Linked DNA regions of Oreochromis niloticus. The protein of the gene in region 1 interacts with the protein of each later gene in a pairwise test. Links are inferred from orthologs where the notes say so. Each region holds a gene or a part of one and is shown in the gene's direction. Other genes may lie near its edges.

Evidence for each region.
Region 2: the proteins of sh3glb1a (region 1) and htatip2 interact in binary tests that used the Homo sapiens proteins (3 or more experiments, as listed by UniProt). The link is inferred for Oreochromis niloticus from reciprocal best matches to the Homo sapiens genes SH3GLB1 and HTATIP2.

The regions. Positions count from the first base shown.
Region 1 is NC_031974.2:26,306,461-26,315,823, forward strand, and holds the start of sh3glb1a (endophilin-B1a), read left to right. Parts: upstream 1-4,509; 5' UTR 4,510-4,640; coding exon 4,641-4,703; intron 4,704-5,124; coding exon 5,125-5,266; intron 5,267-5,891; coding exon 5,892-6,020; intron 6,021-7,456; coding exon 7,457-7,590; intron 7,591-7,970; coding exon 7,971-8,063; intron 8,064-9,363. UniProt on the Homo sapiens protein: May be required for normal outer mitochondrial membrane dynamics. Required for coatomer-mediated retrograde transport in certain cells. May recruit other proteins to membranes with high curvature. May promote membrane fusion.
Region 2 is NC_031965.2:5,703,807-5,713,169, forward strand, and holds htatip2 (oxidoreductase HTATIP2), read left to right. Parts: upstream 1-3,490; 5' UTR 3,491-3,760; coding exon 3,761-3,885; intron 3,886-4,225; exon of another isoform or gene 4,226-4,244; coding exon 4,245-4,434; intron 4,435-4,520; coding exon 4,521-4,628; intron 4,629-5,129; coding exon 5,130-5,267; intron 5,268-5,346; coding exon 5,347-5,408; intron 5,409-6,235; exon of another isoform or gene 6,236-6,257; coding exon 6,258-6,474; 3' UTR 6,475-7,067; downstream 7,068-9,363. UniProt on the Homo sapiens protein: Represses translation by preventing reactivation of elongation factor eEF1A. May also inhibit nuclear import by competing with nuclear import substrates for binding to a subset of nuclear transport receptors.

The DNA.
Region 1 (9,363 bases):
CAGGATGGACTGTCTTTTAATCCTTTACTGTAGCAAAAGTGCTTATGTCTCACTTTAATCATACTTTACAGTAATTGCATTCACAAACTTAACAGGAAAAAGTAAAAAACATTATTAGCATGTGAATTAAAAGTATGCTGCATTCATGGTTTTGTTGTATTTGACTGATTTGTTTATGTTTACAGATGTGATTTGTAGCCATGAACAAATCCAAGGTCACAGCTGACTGTAGCCTGTACATTGCATACCTGTACATACAGTCCATGCAAGGCACTATCGTGGGTTTTGTTACAAAAAAGCTGCATATTGGTGGTTCTCTTTGCATTACTTCTCCATTATGTCCTTTAAATAAGCATGCTGACAGAAAGCAACTTTTCCTTTAAGACTTGAAGATATTGCACACCAGGACACGGTTACATTTAAAGTTTTCAGTTTGTATTTCAGAATCAAAAGTAATTTGTTGCAAGAAAGGGCTTAAAAACTATGCGTTGTGAGAGGGCTTTGGTGCTTGAGTAAAAAACAGTGAATCTTATCTCTGTTCTCATGTCTCCACTCAAGCTCATATCAGCCAGGTGAAGGACAACCTCACCAAGACATCCCAACAGCTCATACCTGCCGTGTTCACAAACACATGAGGTAAGCTAGCAGGCAGCAGCAGGACCCTTCCTGTCAGTGTAGCTCTCCAGTCTTTGATCTCCTGACTAATGGTCTCCCTCCTCCTGGCTTTTCATTCTCCCCTTCCCGCTGAGTTGAGTGTCTCAGGTTTTACAGGGCTCAAAGGGTTCAGATACTTAATGTACACGTGGAAAGTTCCCGCCATTAATATAATGTACATTTTAAGTATACTGTAAAGCCATTAAAGACCTCATAGTATCTTAATATGCTAACAGGGCACTTCACTCTCAGACTGCAGGCTAACTTGTGGTTCCTAGTTAGCCTGCAGTCTGAGATACCTAGTATTTAAAAGTAGACTGGGAGGGAGAACCTTCAGCTTTCAGAGCCTTTCTCTTTGGAGCCAGCTCCCAGTTTAGAGTCAGGAAACAGACTCTGTCTCTACTTTTGTGATAGAGCTTATAGTTAAACCCTCCCTTCGTTACGCTGCTGGAGGCTTCCCATGATGCACTGAGCTTTTCTTCTTCACTTCCTGTGTGCTTTTATACCACTGCTGTACTTAACTATTATCAAACTCTGTCTCTTTCTTCCATAGTGTGCTTTTTGTCCTGTCTCTCTCTCTGCTCTCTTCTCTTTCCCTTGCTTTTAACCGGTTGGTTGCCCCTCCCTTCTGGTTCTCCCAGAGGTTTCATCCTGTTAAAACATAGTTTTTCCTTCCCACTGTCGCCAAGTGCTTGCGCACAGGGGGTCGTCCAATGGGGTTCTGTCTAATATTGCATTGTCATATTGTCTTTACTTTACAATATAAAGCATCTTGTGTTGACTGACTGATGGGAATTATCACTATATAAATGAAACTAATTTGAATTGAACTGAATTACAGCATAGTGTGGCATCATAAGGAAGAGTAAAAACATTAAAGAGCCCAGTAACGTGGATGTTACAACCATGTGCCATTCATACTGGATTTGTTTCCAGCTTTGCCCGGTGCGTTCCAGGGAGCGCTTCATGGAGTCCTGACACTCAACCAGCTGGACGAAGCAGTCAGAGACACCATGCGCTGCGGGGGATGCACCGCCAGTCGAGCCTCCTTCATTGGAGCCTGTTTTGGGGCACAGGTACTGTAGGAACATGGTTGATGGACACATAAAAAGAGCCATGAGTGACTTATCCAAATTAGTGTATGACTAGAAAAAAGTGTTTACATTCAACACTGACACTTTTTACATATTGTTCATTGAAAAGATAAGGCAACATGGAGTAAGTGGATACTGTTGCTACTTTGGTACAAACAAAATCAGCAAAGTCAGAATCAGGAAAAGACATTAACGGCACCTCATACAGCTGTGACACCACCAGAATGTGAAGACATTCAACTGTGAGCTCGTCAGCCAGATGACATTGCACCAATACCAATATTTGCACAGCTGTAGGTGGGATATCACCAGCGTCAGAATAGCCACAAGCTTCCAGTACAGATGTGAGATATACAGCACTAATGGGAGAAAATATTCTACGTGTTTATTGGCATCAAGCACAAACCAGTCCAAATGTATCTACTCTGCAAGAGACACCAAAATCCATCCTTTTTTGCATGTTGTTCTGTGCACCCCTGGAGCTCCTTTGATGAGTTTGACAGTGAGCTCAGATATGCCGAGAGCTTTGTGCTTGCTTGATGCTTTCAGCTGTCATCTCGATGTGCTTTCAGATCGGCCTCCAGGGAATCCCAGAGTCTTGGAGGAAGAGGACGCTCAGATACCCTCTGCTGTTGGAGCTAGCTGAAAAAGTGGTCAAAAAGATTCAGTAATCATAGTTCAATTTGAATTTCTTCCCCCCACAAATTCATCATCTATGTAGAATTTGTGGATAATTGCATTTTAAGAGACTTTCTCAAGTTGCAGATGTACTTTGGCACAGTTATCCATGACAGTTGCATTCTAAAGTCTTGTGCTGAATGAAACTCGAATCTATTTGCTCGGTCAAAGCTGCATCATGTAAAAAAACCCAGTAAAAGCTTGTGTAACCTATTCTCAAATAAAAACTTGTGTTACTGAGACATTTGTATTTGTCTGCTGTTTGCTTTCCTGTGGAGTGGAAAGTAGGGATTTCCTAATCTTAGGAAGCATGTCTGATGAGAGAGAGTAGTTTTGCTGAACCGTCAGAGTTAAGTGGGTTTCTGTCTTCTTACTCCTTTGAGAACTTTCTGTTATTGTGAAGTGAAAGAGCAGATACACACAGATTTACTACTGGAACACGCAGAGACTGCCACTTATTTCTCTCTCACAGGAGCTGTTCTGCCTTCCTGAAAGTGCTGACATTAATATTCACATGTTTAATGCACCCGCCCCAACACTTCTGAAAGTTAGCCAAACATAAGGCAGTGCCAAATCCTTGATATCTTTGACATGGGGTGGGTTTGAAGAAAAAAATCTGAGTGTAGGCTCCCATTGGAGCCTCTGGGTTGCTTTTCCAGTAAAAGTTTTACATTCAGAGATTGACTGGTTAACGCTGTCAGTCAGTGTATTTAAACTGGTACTGTTTGTTATCTTAGCAAAGAAAAAAAGGGAGCTATGTGTGATTTTAAGCTATGTTTCCTAAACACTGACTGCACTAATGTTTGGATGAAGAAATCTCAGAGCCAAGGTTTTGGTGAGTGGAAAGGTTGAGGCTGACTGTGCGTTGGTAGCCTGCAAGGGGAAGTCATTTGATGTCTCCCTCTGCCTGACTTCCTCCCACACAGCAGGTAACCGGCTCACTTTGGCATAATCACATCCAGACCTGAAGAGTGTTTTTGTTATTCCAAATTCTGCTTTTGTTAAGATGTTTTTGAAGAAAGGGCTGATGTTTGCAAAAGATATTGTGTTACTGATGGGGTACAGCACACGTGTCAGCAGTTTTTATGGAAAAAGTGTACTTAACAGTTCTGTGTGTGCTCTAATGTGCACTTTACTTTCAGTGGAATTGCAAATTAGTTTATAGGAGGCAGATGAGCCTCCACAAACCCAACCAACACCACCTCCTCCTGTTGATGTCAAACATAGAAATAATGTATCCTTAAATTATTATTATTATTATTATTAACAACAATCTTTTTATTTGTATTAATGGTATAATAACGAAAGATTCACAGAATAGTTTCACACAGTTACCAAAGGCACATGAATAAGTGAATGGCAAAGGTCTTAAAAAAGAAACTTAACGTGACTTAAAAAAGAAAAAAGTATTTATTTTTTTTACTGTTAGCACCCTGATAAAAACTTGCCCTCGTTAAAACTGGATTTTTTCCATGTCTAGCTTATATTGAAATGTTTACAGAATGAGTGAGAAGTATAAAATGAAAAAGTTGTTATAGTTTAGAAGATAAAAAAAGAGTTTATTTTTCCCAAAGGCTGAGACATTCCTGTGTTGCAGGAGAAAATTAGAATAAGTAAATAAAATAAAAGGAAACCGGGCTCAGTTAAATTAAAAAGTAGAATTTTAGAAAAAAAAAAAAAAGACAAAAAATTAAAAATTCGCTTTTTTTAAGAAGTACAAAATCAAAATAAATACAATGGCGGCTAATGTTTCCGTGTGACGTGAATGCATCCAAAGATTACTTGTAATGCAAGAGAGAAATCTCCTACTCGCTACTGTGTTCCTTTGGTCATACGGCGACACCATTGAATATTCAGGGTACTGTTTGGTTGTTAGAACAAAATTCACTTGCTTCAGCACTTGCATATTATTTCACTCAACTACTGTCCCTCGCATCGTACCACGATAACACTTTCGTTTCTTTTCTTCATACATTTAAACTGCATTTTCAACGTCCCCACCCATCGTCGTATATTATTTGCGCATTCGCAATATCCACTGACACGTTAGGGAAGGGAACAATCTTGTCACTATACTATCTTTGCCTGGCTCAACAGCTGGGTGGAACTTGGACAAAAAAAAAGTTGCTTCAATGACATTTTGTATAGTGATGGCTCTTTGAGGGCGAGACTAGCCAGTTGTTAACATTAAGTGTTTATTTTCGCCGCTGTGCCATGGATTTTAATGTAAAACGGCTAGCCGCAGACGCCGGTACTTTTTTGAGCCGAGCGGTACAAGTAAGTCTAACAATTTAGTTCATGGGAATTGTTGCTAGTCAGCGTTAGCCACTGTGAGGTTGCGTTAGCGTCCTTGCTAAAGAGCTAACGTTACCGTGATTGTTACTTTGTAGCTAAGCAGTTACACCTAATTGTAAGTTAATTTCTATAATTTGCATTGTAGAATGTATTTAAAAAGTGAGTGCGTCACCCAGGTCGTGTTAACACTAAGCTATTTGTTCAACTTAACCATCAATGAAGGCCTCAACACCGTCACATGAAGCTATCAACAGCAGCTGGCAGATAGCGCTAACCTTTATTTTCCGAGCTTAATAACGTTGCTTAGCTTTTTACCCTCAGTCATCTTGTGTGTATCTGTGAATACATCCGTGAAAGCTACAACTGGCATGCGCAATGTAAACGTATATTTTTAATTTTTCAGTTTACAGAAGAGAAGCTTGGTCAGGCTGAAAAGACAGAGTTGGATGCCCATTTGGAGAAACTTTTGGTCAGAGCTGAGAGCACCAAGCAATGGACAGAAAAGATTATGAAGCAGACAGAAGTCTTACTACAGCCCAACCCCAGTAAGATCACACTTTTTGACTTTCAAAGGACTGACACTGACATTTCTAAGCAGCACAGGGCACCCACCCACACAATGTTCTTATAGACCTGCAACCTGATATTCAGGAATCAGGAATTCCCTGAAGAGCAGCTCAATAAAGATGAAAGATTTGTTGCTGCCAGTAAGGCTCACATTAAAAGCTTTACTTCTCAGAGAGGGTGTTTGACTTCCACGGGTTTGTAGGGTGCCTGTGAAGTCTGTAAACTCAGCTGTGCATCCTCCTCACTTCACACCATGATGTCGCATCTCTGCAGCCGAACACCAGCATAGGCACAACAAACACAGACCGTCCATCTGGCGGTTGCAGTCTTGTGCAATAGTCGTAGACATGGTAAACTGGATGTTATTGTGTTCACGTTAAACACAGCACAGATAATCTTTCACATGATGTAGTAACATGAAACAAATTACAGCGGTTTCAGAGAGACGCTGGCTTGTAGTTTGTCATAGCTGTCACAATGAAAGCTTTCAGTGTGGGTCTTTAAGTCGGGCTGTCTGAAGCATACTAAAGTCACTCCCTGCATTTGGCTCGCTCACTGTAGTCCTGTGACTTTGTAATTGAGTTTTCTTCTTGCGCTCTGCAGATGTCCGGCTAGAAGAATTTGTTTATGAGAAACTGGAGAAGAAGGTCCGCACACGTATGAACAATCATGAGCTGCTGGGACAGTCCATGATTGAATCAGGGAATGAATTTGGTCCTGGAACTGCCTATGGTGAGTGCCACGGTGAAACACTGACAGGTACTGGGGCTGTAGTCGATCAAAGACTGTCTTTGCTCAGGGAAAGAAAGTCTGTACATTACCTCCAGATTAAATAAATCAGCTACAGAGCGGCTAGCCCAGTTAGACTGCATAAATTATAAATACACAGGGATTATTATTATCATGATCATTATTATTATTATTATTATTATTGTTATTATTATTATACACATAAAAAACCTAATATTTGCACCATATTTGATTATTTTCACTTTGTTTTGTGTATTAAAATGGGAAAAGACTTTGAGCCAGGTAGTCTGCACTTGCACATAGTCTCATGATGTCTGAGTAATGCTAATAATTATGCTAATAGGCCTCTCTCAGCTGTGGCGGGATGCATCTGCCGTTAGAAAGCCAATAGACCAAAGCTACTCTGGCTTTGATTTGTTCACTCACAAAGCCTCATACATTAAACAGCAAATCTGGCAGAAAAACCTAAAACATGCCCCAGTTTTCCCAGGTAGTCTGTTCCTTTTCCAGAAATAATTAGCTACTATTGATGGAGATTTTTTTTTGTCCTTCTTAAAGTAATGTTGTTGTGAGTTTAATGAGAATTTGCACAGTCGGAGCAATCAACCTGAGATGACCCCAGTCCTACTGGGAACACCAGCTGAGCTGAAACTTTGTGGTCTTTATTTTGTTGATTTGAATCTTTAACAAAAAATAATAGAAATTCTACAAAGGCAACTAAAAGAGGCCTACAGCAACTCAAGTCAGAGTAGTTTGATCATTAGCAAGCCTCCTGACATTACACAGTGGACAAAAGGCTAAAAGAAATGACGGTCGCTCTAGTTGTTCAGTTGTTAATAGAATATAAATGCACGGTTGACAGTGAGAAGGAAAAACGCCCTTTTAACAGGAGGAAACATACCACAGAACCAGGCTCAGGGAGGGGCAGTTACTTGGTTAGCAGGGAGGGAGACGGGGCAAAAGACACACTGTGGAAGAGAGCCAGAGATTAATAATAACTACTGGTTACATGCTGGGTGGTGTGTAAACAGAGAGTGAAAAAAGAGGAAATGCAGTGCATCATGGGTAGCTCCCAGTAGCCTAGGTCTGTTGCAGCATCACTAAGGATCCAGTTACCCGATCCAGCCCTAACTATAAGCTTTATCCAAAGGAAAGATTTTTAAGCCTAATCTTAAAAATCTCTAAATATTTCTCAAAACATCATCAGCTTGTTTGTCTGTCTCATGAAGACTTGTAAAAATGAGTTAAACTCTGGTTTGTTTGTTTTAAAGAACATTTTGATGATTTTCTGAACCATCTTCTGCTATTTTCAGTCCCAGCCAGGCCACTTATCAGTGTCAAGCTGAAACAATATCACCATTCTCCCTCCCAAGTGTTCTGCTGGCACTAAACTTTCCTTTTGCTGCTGACCATTGTAGGAAACGCTCTGATAAAATGTGGAGAGACGGAGAAGCAGATTGGTGGGGCGGAGCGGGAGTTCATCCAGAGTGCCGCCATCAACTTCCTGACACCGTTCAGAAACTTTTTAGAGGGCGACTTCAAAACTATTCTGGTGAGTTGGAACCGCAGGCTACCTGTCCTGAATCACTTTCACTTTTACCCGGACTTTGACCTTTAAATCTGGATCTCATTCACAACAGTGACGGCTGCAGAGGGTCCACGAGTACAGCTTTAATGATTGTAGCCATTATTTTACAAAGTACTGAAAGATCCTGTTGAAGTCTGTACATTATGCTCACTTCAGTTTAGAGTTTAGTGTTCAGACTATGTCAGGTGTGTGCAAACTCACATTGTGATTATAGAAAACAAGCCCTTTTAATCGTGTTATAATCTAAAGTAAACACTGATGAATGAAGTAGAAGCCTTGTTTACACTGTGCTGTGTCCATGTGTCGTTTATCTGTGAGACTTTTATGTTGTGATTTGTGTCCAGAAAGAGAGGAAGCTGCTGCAGGTCAAACGCCTGGATCTGGATGCAGCCAAAACCAGACTAAAGAAAGCCAGGATGGCTGATGCAAGAGCTGCGGTAAGGACACACACACACACACACACACACACACACACACACACACACGCTGATAGAACAGCTTAAGTGAATTCTGCTTTTGGTACATTCACTAGCTAACTTCTTCACTGGGGAAGAAAATCTATCGGGCGTGTCCCAGTGTCACTCTGTCTGAAGTCACACAAGTACTGCCTGACACACTACGTTACACAACACAAGGCTGACCATTTTATCTCTTGTGACATGCAAAGAGTCACATGAGCCACCATGGGAAGTTTTAGAGTTCCCTTTTCTTAATTTAATCTCATGCTTTGTGTTCGTGTTCTTCAGACAGACTGTTGAAACTCTTGATTAAACCGAGTGTGGCAACAAAGCATGTCCTTATTCGTGAGGCGTGAGGTGCCCAGGTGTGTGTGTGTGTGTGTGAGGAGCATGTATTTGTCCTTGTACCACATGGTGTGCCACAGTTTGTGCTAAAAGCCTTGTTTAATAAGTCAGCTCACTGGCCAATTGATTAGGTACACGTGGTTAGTATTAGGTTGGACCATCTTCTGCCATCATAACCTCCTTCATTCTTCCTGGCAAGGATAAAACAAGGAGCTGGAAACAATCCTCCGAGATTTTGGTCTATATTGCTGCAGATTTATTTTCTGCATGCCTATAATGCAAATCCACAACATCCCAAGGGTGCTAGGTTGGATTGGCATCTGGTAACTGTGTGTGAGATATGGTGCGTTATCCTAAGCCATGTTAAAAAAGGTCACTGAATAGTTGTTCCTTTTTTTGAACCATTCTCTATAAACCCTCAAGATGTTTGTGTGGTAAAATCCCAGTTTCTGAAATACTCAGACCGGCACATGTCATTCAGAGTCGATTTAATCACCTTTCTTCCTCATTCTAATGCTCTGTTTGAACTTCAGCAAGGCTATAAGCCATCAGCCATGTGATTGGCTGATTTAGGTTTGTGTTAATGAGTGGTTGAAGCTAATAAACTGTCCAATGAATGATATATGAGTGGTGACATGTTTAAAAATATTTTTTTGCATATTCACTCTTAGTAGAAACTCTTGTGTTCTTCTCCACTGTTGTCACATAACTGCCAATTAACAATATAACATTAAACCATATATGAGGAGTGCATATTTGGCTGCCATCTTCTTGTAATGTGTGTATTACCACCACTTCAAAGCTGCCCCTAGCTGGTCTGTTTTTCTCTGCTCTCCCACTCAAACTGAGCTCAGAAAGTTGTTTAAACATTTAGGTTATTAAGTGCTAAATATAATAGTATGTATTAGTTTTTAATCTACATGCATATTGTGTA
Region 2 (9,363 bases), on another chromosome or scaffold:
TGTGTGTGTGTGTGTGTGTGTGTGTGTGTGTGTGTGTGTGTGTGTGTCTGTATGTGATGTGTATATACAGGCATGCATGTATGCGCTTTTTATTTGTCTTAATTGGTCGTATCAGTCGTTTTATTTGCTTCAAAGAAATATACATTTCAGAACATACACACAAACACAAAATCTTATCTATAATTAGTTATGTTCATCTTAGTTTGGTGTCCAGGGATTCAATCATATATCAGCAGTTAACACTTTAAAATGAAACTTTTAAACAGTTGTCAAGATGTTTAAATTGTACTCTGAAGCTGAAGTGTTGGCAGACTTCAGCCAAGTTCAGTTTGATGTAAACATGGAAAACTGTTTGAGACTGCAGATGACTGACACCTGCAGTCTCAAACAGTTATATTATATCTAATTCTGAACACAAATAAAATGTATATGAGGTGAAAACAGTAACTTCTTAACTGCATGAGCCAAAAAGCTTTTAAATATTTCTGGTCAACCAAATTTTTCACCTTCATCTAAAGTCAAAATAAAAATGTGAGAATTTGGGTATTAATTTAAATACTGACATCAATAGCTGGGACCAGGGTATAATAAAGCATGATGCTTACCCACCAACTATTGTCAAAGTTAGTGTTGCATGAAAATGTTTTTGTTAACATTGCATAACACACCTGTTATGCAATATTGGGTAAATGCTATAACTGAAGTGTAAAGTAAAAGGAACGACTGACGGAAAACCAACTCTTTATGATCCATATGTCCTTTTAGAGACTAATCAATGGTCAAATGCAATTGACCACTGACCACCATTGGTATTTTCACCTCCAACGGCGGAGTTCTAAAAGGAAATTGAACCACGTTTCTGCCACGCACCCACTGAGGCATAAGCCTTCTTACTCCAACTTCCTGTCTGATCAATGTGAGAGACAATGACTCAACAGGTGCGACAGACAGGAGCCCAGCGGCAGCTTTCTTCCCTGCCGCTAGCTCCAATTAGCACCCGTGGCTAAGGAACAAAGAGGCGACATTTCATTTCAGCAGAGTGCCAGTTTAAGGCCTCTTCTCTCAACCTCAGCCTATTTTCTTTCTGTCTCTTACTGCTGACATCTTTAAAGGATCATCCCTGGCTCCATCATATTCTATTAGATTGGGTCGATGCCTTGTGTTCAAAGTGGCAGGGGTGTTAAAAACATGGGGTGTTGATGAATTCATTGCATGTGACTGGACTTGCTTTCTTTGTGTGGAGGTTTTGACTAATGAAACCCCCTGAAGATCTGACAAAAGGCAAAGACATTTTTTAAGGTTTGGTCCAACTCTAGATCCACGCTGGATTTCTTCACCAGCAGACTAAAGTGTTGCTTTTCCTACAACTTCAACTTTTGGGAGAAGAGACCTGGTTTATTCTATTTCAATAACAATTTTAAAAGCTATTCATCATCTTTTCTCCCCATACACAGCACCTGTTGTGTGAATAGCTTTAACCACTGTAAGAATACACATAGTGGAAAGCAGGTTTAGCTCTACAGGGTTGAGCAGGTGACCCACATGCCGCAAAGCTAATGCAGAGACTTAGGTTCAAATCTACCCCAAGGCCATTTACTGCGTGTCTTCTTCCTGACCTTTCTTCTTCTGCCTTAAGGTTTATTTTAACCTAATTTTCCTCTAAAGCATTGGCATGACATGAGGTCGTGTAAGCATATTTTCTATGTAACTTTTTATGTTTTTCAACAGCATGAGCTGCTCTGACTAAGCAATTACAAATGTGTTCAGCTCCAGTGAAATAATCATTTACCTATGTATAGATTATAGGTCTAGGTATAATATTGGTCTAGTTGACCATGTTTGGTCCTTTATGGTGTTCTGTTAATGGGTGGGTTATTTTAGAGAGCAAATGAATATTTTGTGCTTAGAGTTTGTGTGTTACAAGCAGGAAAAATAGGGAATCTTTAGGATTTGAGTGAGTTTGACAAGGGACAAATTGTAGTGGCTAGCCGACTGGGTCAGAAACTAAATTAAACCTGGGTCTGGCTCAGAAAGATGGTGGGAGTGTCTTAGTAGTTCAAGAATCACTCTTTGACTCTAAACTGCAACAAAACGGTCTCATGTGTTTTACAATCCGGTGTAAATCAGAGAGAAATCCAAAAAGTGGATGAGTTTAAATATCTGGGTGTCATCTTGGATTCCCATGTTAATTTTGAGACTCACATCAGGAAAGTATCCAGAACCATTAAGATCAACATAAACTGTTTCTGTTGTATAGGTTCATGTTTATATGGAAAAGCTGCTCATTTGTACCTGCATGATTCTGTGTCATCTCTCATACTGTGTCACTGTTTGGAGCCAAGTAACTCAGTCTACTTTAAAACCCATGATGGTGTGGTATAAACAAGCACTGAAAGTTTTAGACCAGAAACTAATGAAGTGACACCACTGTAAAATACTGGAGAAAAACATTCTCTTAAGCTTTGATACAATTTTGGGACTTCTCTTTTTTAAACTAACTTTTAAATGCATCAATGGTCTTGTCCCAGAGTTAGTGAGCAGTATGATGCTAAAAGCCAGCAGTAACAAGAAGAGTAGCTCATAGAGACCGCAAACTACCAAAATAGAAAACATAATTTGCTCAATCCTGGTTCTCACTCAAAGGTCCTCAGATTATGGGAACAGTTTACCATCTGCAATAAAAATGTTAACAGATTCTAGGGTTTTTAATTCCCAGGTGAAACAATGGCTGAAACAAAAACAAATCTCTGGATACTGATGTAAACCAGCCTGCTTTGCTGTGGTTGGATAACACGACATGGCCATGCATCTCCTGCTATTAGTTAAAGTAACTCTGAGTGAGTGTGTGTGTATTTGTGGACGGATTAGTTTTATTTCTGCTGTATTTTTTTTTTTTTTTAAAGTCCAACCACGGACTGGGTTTTCTAGCCTTTAGCTAGAAGACCTTTGTACAAAACAACGGTTGCATTGTTTTATCATGTAACATTGTCTCATGTCCTGTCCTTATCAAATACATGTAGCTAACTAACTAGCCGCAGACCAGTCCTTGTTGGCAGAGACAGTGTGTTGCTTTGGGTAATATTCTGCTGGGATACCTTGTGTACTGCCATCCATGTGCTTGTACTTTTACATGTTGCACCTACCTAAGCATTGCATCCTATTCCCTGCCCCTGGCTGTGGCCTCTTTCAGCAGGATACTTCCCTGTGTTATAAAGCAAAAATATGATGCTGATGCGATCAGCATCAGCTAATTAACATTAGTTTACCAAGAGCTTGAAGACATTGATTTTCACACCCTTAAACAGTAGCCTACACCTCTGGTTTTGCCAGCATAAACCGCTTTACTGTGCGGGGTAAAGCAAAGACACACTTACACTGAGCCACGTTTGCCGCAAAAACAAAAACAAAAACCTCGTGGTATAGGAGAGGAAAATTGTGCACAAACTAAAAACTGGATGCATTACAGATTCAAACCTCCAGAGCGCATGCGCTGTCCGTAAAGCGTTGTCTGCGTTGATATGGAGCGGAGCGAGGCGTGTTTATAGCATCCCTTTGGTTTGCTTATATATCATGCTGCAGTTTAATACAAACATAAAGTTCGCAGTCTGCTGTGTGTCGGTTTCGTGTATTAAACTGCCAGCGGCACGCTGTCATTTTAGATTTCTTCCTCGGCCTATCAACGAAGCAGGAAGACAGCGCCGTTTGTGTAAATATGAAGCAACCAGGAAGTGTTGCAGCACTTTAATCGTTGCTATCAGCGATGCCTGTTATTAAACTGCTGTGCACCACCCTGGGGAAGACATTAGGATTTTTCACTGTCCTGGTTGTTTTCATCGCAGCGACCTTAAATTATTTCGAAGATTCCGAAACGGTTAAATACACGAGGTAATGACACGCGCTCGTCTTTGTTAACGTTAACGAATTTATACTCGACACCGAGCTGTATTTAGTTACATACATGCTAAATATGCCACTGTCAGATCGGTCAAGCCAACCTCCATTCACGAGTACATGAATTTAATGTGATCTTTCCTCTTGGTAGTCGTAGTCCCCTTAACACCGATTTCTGAATTCCGTAAATTTATCGCAAATAATCATAACTGGTAGTCACTATTAACCAGTATTTAATACTTTGTTTCACCCTCGATTATAGCTGCCCACCGAGGTGCTAAACGGTACTGTTCAGATTTACATGTGCATTAAACGCGTGATATTTACATGACAGGGCTGTCTGTTGTTAACAGTATGGCTGAGGACATCAAGACCCTAGAAGAAAACTTCAGGCAGCAGAACAAAAGCTGTTTCATCCTAGGCGCTTCAGGGGAAACTGGCAAGGTGTTGCTTCAAGAGCTGCTGGAGCGTAATATTTTCTCTAAGATTACTCTTATTGGAAGGAGGCAGCTCACCTTTGAGGGCAAAACTTATGAAAACCTGGTTAGTGGGCTGATCAGTTGACCAAACTTGTAATAATAAGGCCAGTAAAAAATTTTTTTCTTAAGCACTGTTTTCTGTGGCCCCAGGTCCAAGAGGTGGTCGACTTTGAGAAGCTTGATGATTATGCTGCTGCCTTCCAGGGCCATGATGTTGGATACTGCTGCCTGGGAACAACCAGAGCTAAAGCAGGAGCTGTGAGTGGTCTCAATCCAGCACGGGAACTTGACAACCAAATGATAAGATTTTACTGTTTCACTGTGGCTGTCGGCCATAGCCAAACCTTAGTTTGTTAACAGTAACTATGACTCAGCAGTAACAATAACTGAGCTGTGTCACCCACATTAATTTGGCTAACATTTCCATTAACACAGCTAATAAATTGACAAGGCTCATGGGCTATTTTTATAGACACTGGCTTATTTTGTAATATCTGTTATGCCACTAAGTTATAAAACATTGCTTTGAGGTAATTTAGAAGCAGCAATGTTATTACATATCATGTCTCTCAGAGCACTTCTAAATCATGGAGGTATAATTTGGCTACAATGACTTATTTCAGAGCTCCTAATGAAAAATATTTACCCATATTATACATATGGAAACGATATACATCAGTGACAGTCACCAAAATTGAAATGTAAAAATGTTGGTCTTTTTTTGGGTCCTATTTCATTAAGTGCATTCTTCTGTTTCAGGAAGGATTCATCAGAGTTGATCATGACTATGTTCTAAAATCAGCTGAGCTCGCCAAAGCTGGAGGCTGCACACAGTTCCACCTGGAGTCTTCCAGGGGAGCAAATAAAAAAAGCGGCTTCCTTTACCTCAAAGTCAAAGTATGTTTTTGACTTAACATCCTGAAATTTCCTCAGCTAAACTTTCTTGGAGTCCTAAAATTAATGACTGTTCTTCCAGGGACAAGTAGAGGCAGACATCGAGGCCCTTGGTTTTGACAGATTCGCCATTTACAGACCAGGGTGAGTGATCTCACTTAGAGCCTCTTTTCAAAAAGAGCCAAGGCGCTGTGTAAAAAAAGTAAACAGGAGCAGGATTGAGTGTTTTTAAACCATAAATTTATTTGAAAATAGCACATAGCCCCCCAAAATTACACAAGTTATCACAAAACAAACCCTCTTTCTTAGAAACTAGATTGTACTGGCCGTTACAGAGCCTGTAAATATACACTCACTAGCCACTTTATTAGGTACATTTAACTGCTCAACTGAGCATCAGAATGAGGACGAAATGTGAATTGAGTATGAACATGGCTGTTTGTACAAACTCGTCTAAGTATTTCAGAAACTGAGGCCTTAGTTCACACAAGCTCACCAAAGCTGGATAATGGAAGATAGGAAAAATGAGTCTTTATTTCTACTGTGACATTTTTCATCGTATAAACAAGATGAAATCATGGACCCTTCCTGCCTTGTATTAAAAAATAATAACTAAAGGTCTAAAGGCCAAAGCGGATACAACCAGGTATCAGTGAGGTGTACCTAGTAAATAGGCTGCTGCAAATTACATGAATTGAAGGGATGAGGAACACCTACCTAGAAAATATATAGGGCTGTGGCTGCATAGAGTTGATTAGAGCAATAAAAAAGTAAAATCTGGGATGATCATTCTCTAAAAGAAGAGTCATGTGTGACTTCTGCTAATGTGGCAACAACTTAGGGAAATTCACAACGAACATGACACAGTGTGACTTTTCTGTAATTAAACTCTTGTAAATTCATTCTTCTGAAGGTGAAGTGGCATTTCATCAGTCAGTGTGATCTAACCAGATACAATCTCTCAGTCTTACCTTTTGTACTTTTTCTCCACAGGGTTTTGTTGGTGGATAGGCAGGAGAGTCGTCCCGCTGAGTGGATGGCGAGGAAGTTCTTTAGCACCGTGTCTGCTGTTGGATTTAGATCCATGGCTGTGCCAATCCAAGAGGTGGCCAAAGCAATGGTGTCAAACACTGTGCTTCAACCTGAGCAGAAGACGGAGATCCTGGAGAATAAAGACATCGCCACTCTGGGGAAAAGTGCAGGGAAATAAGAGAGCAGGAAATTTACAGGGGTGGGAAAAAACATGTTCAGTATGCACTCAAACTTTCAGAAAGACACATAAACCTTTACATTTGACAGGAGACACCTGTGATGCTTTGGATAACCTAACTGGGTGGTTATCTATAATTCATCTATATCTCCATGTTTAAAAAATACTTGGGGTATCTCTATAAGTTCTATAAGTCCTATAAACTTGTAAGAAATTGAAGCCAAGTAACTTTCCAAAAGTATAAAAAATTGAAAGGTGTGCATGAGAAGTTGCTTAAAGACAAATATTAACTTTAGTTTATGTTTTATTTAAGGAACTGTCATCATATTTCAGGGTTATTATATCCTCGAATGCCCATCAAACCAACATCATGGTGTTTTGCAGTTGTCAGAAATCCAAAGGTTTTTGTCTTTAAAGAAGTAAAAAAGATAAAGTAGTAGTGCCAGGCCTTTCAGTCTTCATCATTTGTGCTCCAAAATATTAACCACTGCCTCAAAGTAAACGTTTACTGAACACTAGATTGAGATAATGACGTTTAACCTGTTCATTAAATTATAATAAATATGTACTTATGTGTGTTTAATTCAGGGAAATGTTTCCATAGCCGCAGGATGAATGTATGGATCAATATATAAAGAAATCTTTGTGCATAGCTTTTACTTTGCACACACCAAGATCCAAATGTGTGACGCATGTATTACAATTTCTGTACTGGAGGTGCTGCATAATTGTCATACAATAAATGTACTCATGACAGTTTATACAACACGTCTCATTTACCTGCTCTCTCAGTTTTTTCTATTTAGTTTACCTGTTTACCTCTTTGTGTACTTTTGTACAACTCCAGGGTTTTTCTACACCTCTATTATTAGTGCAGTGTATTTTCCAAGAAACAGAAAGGTAAAATCTGAGTTTGTTCTTTTTCATACTTTTTCTCATATTAGACATTTTCTTTTGGCTGCATAATAAATGTCACATTCTAACATATTCTAATATCTAACAATACAATACAATATCACAACATGTTTATTTTATATGTAAAGTCGTCTTTAACAGATATATTTTTCATACTGAATTTTGTTCACACGTTTCACAAGTGTTAGAATTGAAAGTTGCAGATTTATTTTAAGTCGATAAAGCAGGTGATGCCCTAATTCCTTTTTTAAGAGACACAAACTTAATTTAACTTGTGTGACAGAGCAGTGTCACTGTCACGTCTTAGTTCTACCTCATTTTTCAGTTTTGCCTCTCGTTATTGCGTTTTGATGGACTTCACTATTAAATGCAAATCCACTGAAACGCTTGAATTTGTAATGTTAGCCCCTTTTTCCTCTTTGACGCAGCAGCGACCTCTTGTGACTAAATGATGTAATACATCTTACAGACAAGGATTTGTTCACTAATATTTGTTGGGATCAGCAGTCAGTGGTCGGTATACATTTTGGTCACAGAAACACAGATGAATACTTTGACATTATTGGCAGCTGAATTAAATTGAGACAGTTTTAGAGTCTTGTTGTTGTGTGCTTTGGCTCACTGTCACATTTGATATGTAATAACTTAAATGTATGTACTGAGTATTTTGCTTTTTATATTAATTCCCATAAAGACTTGAATGTTGGGTATTTCTCTTCCTGTCTTTTAATCTAAAAAAACACACAAAACTGCCAGTATGTTAAAAGGCACACTTGTACAGTAGCCAAACCACCAAAATGATGAAAATTACCTATAAGGTGACACAAAGAAAGGGAATTTACCTCTGAAATTGAGAAACATTCCTTAATCCCTCCATCGAACAGTTTTGTGTGCGTTGCCATCATGACCCTGCAGTACTAATTAGTAAATAATGACAAACAGCTGCATCTCTCTGTAAATGTTTGGAGTTCAGAATATGTTTATGGGTCTTAAAAGCCTGTTTCAACAGGTTGCTACCAGCTTAATTTAGTCATATGGTGGTGTAAGGTGGTGCTGACCCCCCTCCAAAAAGAAATAAACAAACTAAAAAAAACTGCATGAACATTGCAAACCAACTGAGCCATTTGAGCCTTTCATGTAATAAAGGTGTGCACATGATTTTTATCCGTGTTACACTTTAATCTGTAGCCTGTTAATGGTTTGCTTGTGGCCGCTGGTTGGTGATGTAAAAACTTTGAGAATAACCACTGAGGTATTTCATAATCAGTCAGTAGCTTGTATTAGCATCCATTAGCTTTTTATTTTGCTTAGTAAGTCCAGATTGACAGGCCAAACGGGAGTCTAAATACACAGTCTCATATTCTTTTAGAGGCTAAATGTGACTGGACAACAATCTGGACAACAATCATAATTTAGTTTTCATTTCTAATACCTCATCTGGATATCACCAGAGAATGGGATTATTTGCCAGGCTTTTGTCACAGATGTCTTCAGTTGTTTTTGTGTTTGCAGATCTCCCCATCTCCCTTTAATTTTGTCATCAGCAGGTGAAATTGACTAGTCAACTAGTCAATTTTTCTCCATTTGGTTGAATATGAAGAGACCGTATATCCCCAGCAGCTCAGAATTCCTGGACTCTTGTCTGCCTTCATTTTTCTTCTTTTTTCAGCTTCTTCCTTTAGGGGTCGCCACATCTGCCTTCATCTCATCCCATCTCTTGCATTCTCTCCTGTCACACCAACCCTCTGCATGTCCTCTCACTACATTCATGAATCTTCTCTGTGGTCTTTCTCCTTTTCTCATCTCTCGCAACACCAGCTTCAACATCCTTTATCCAATATATCCACTATCCCTTCTCTGCACATGTCCAAACCATTAGAATTTTACCTCTTTAACTTTGTTGGGGAGCATTTGAAACTATAATGCCTTGTCACCTTTAACAAGCCATCTCTTTCTAAGCAGCTATTGTCTGCT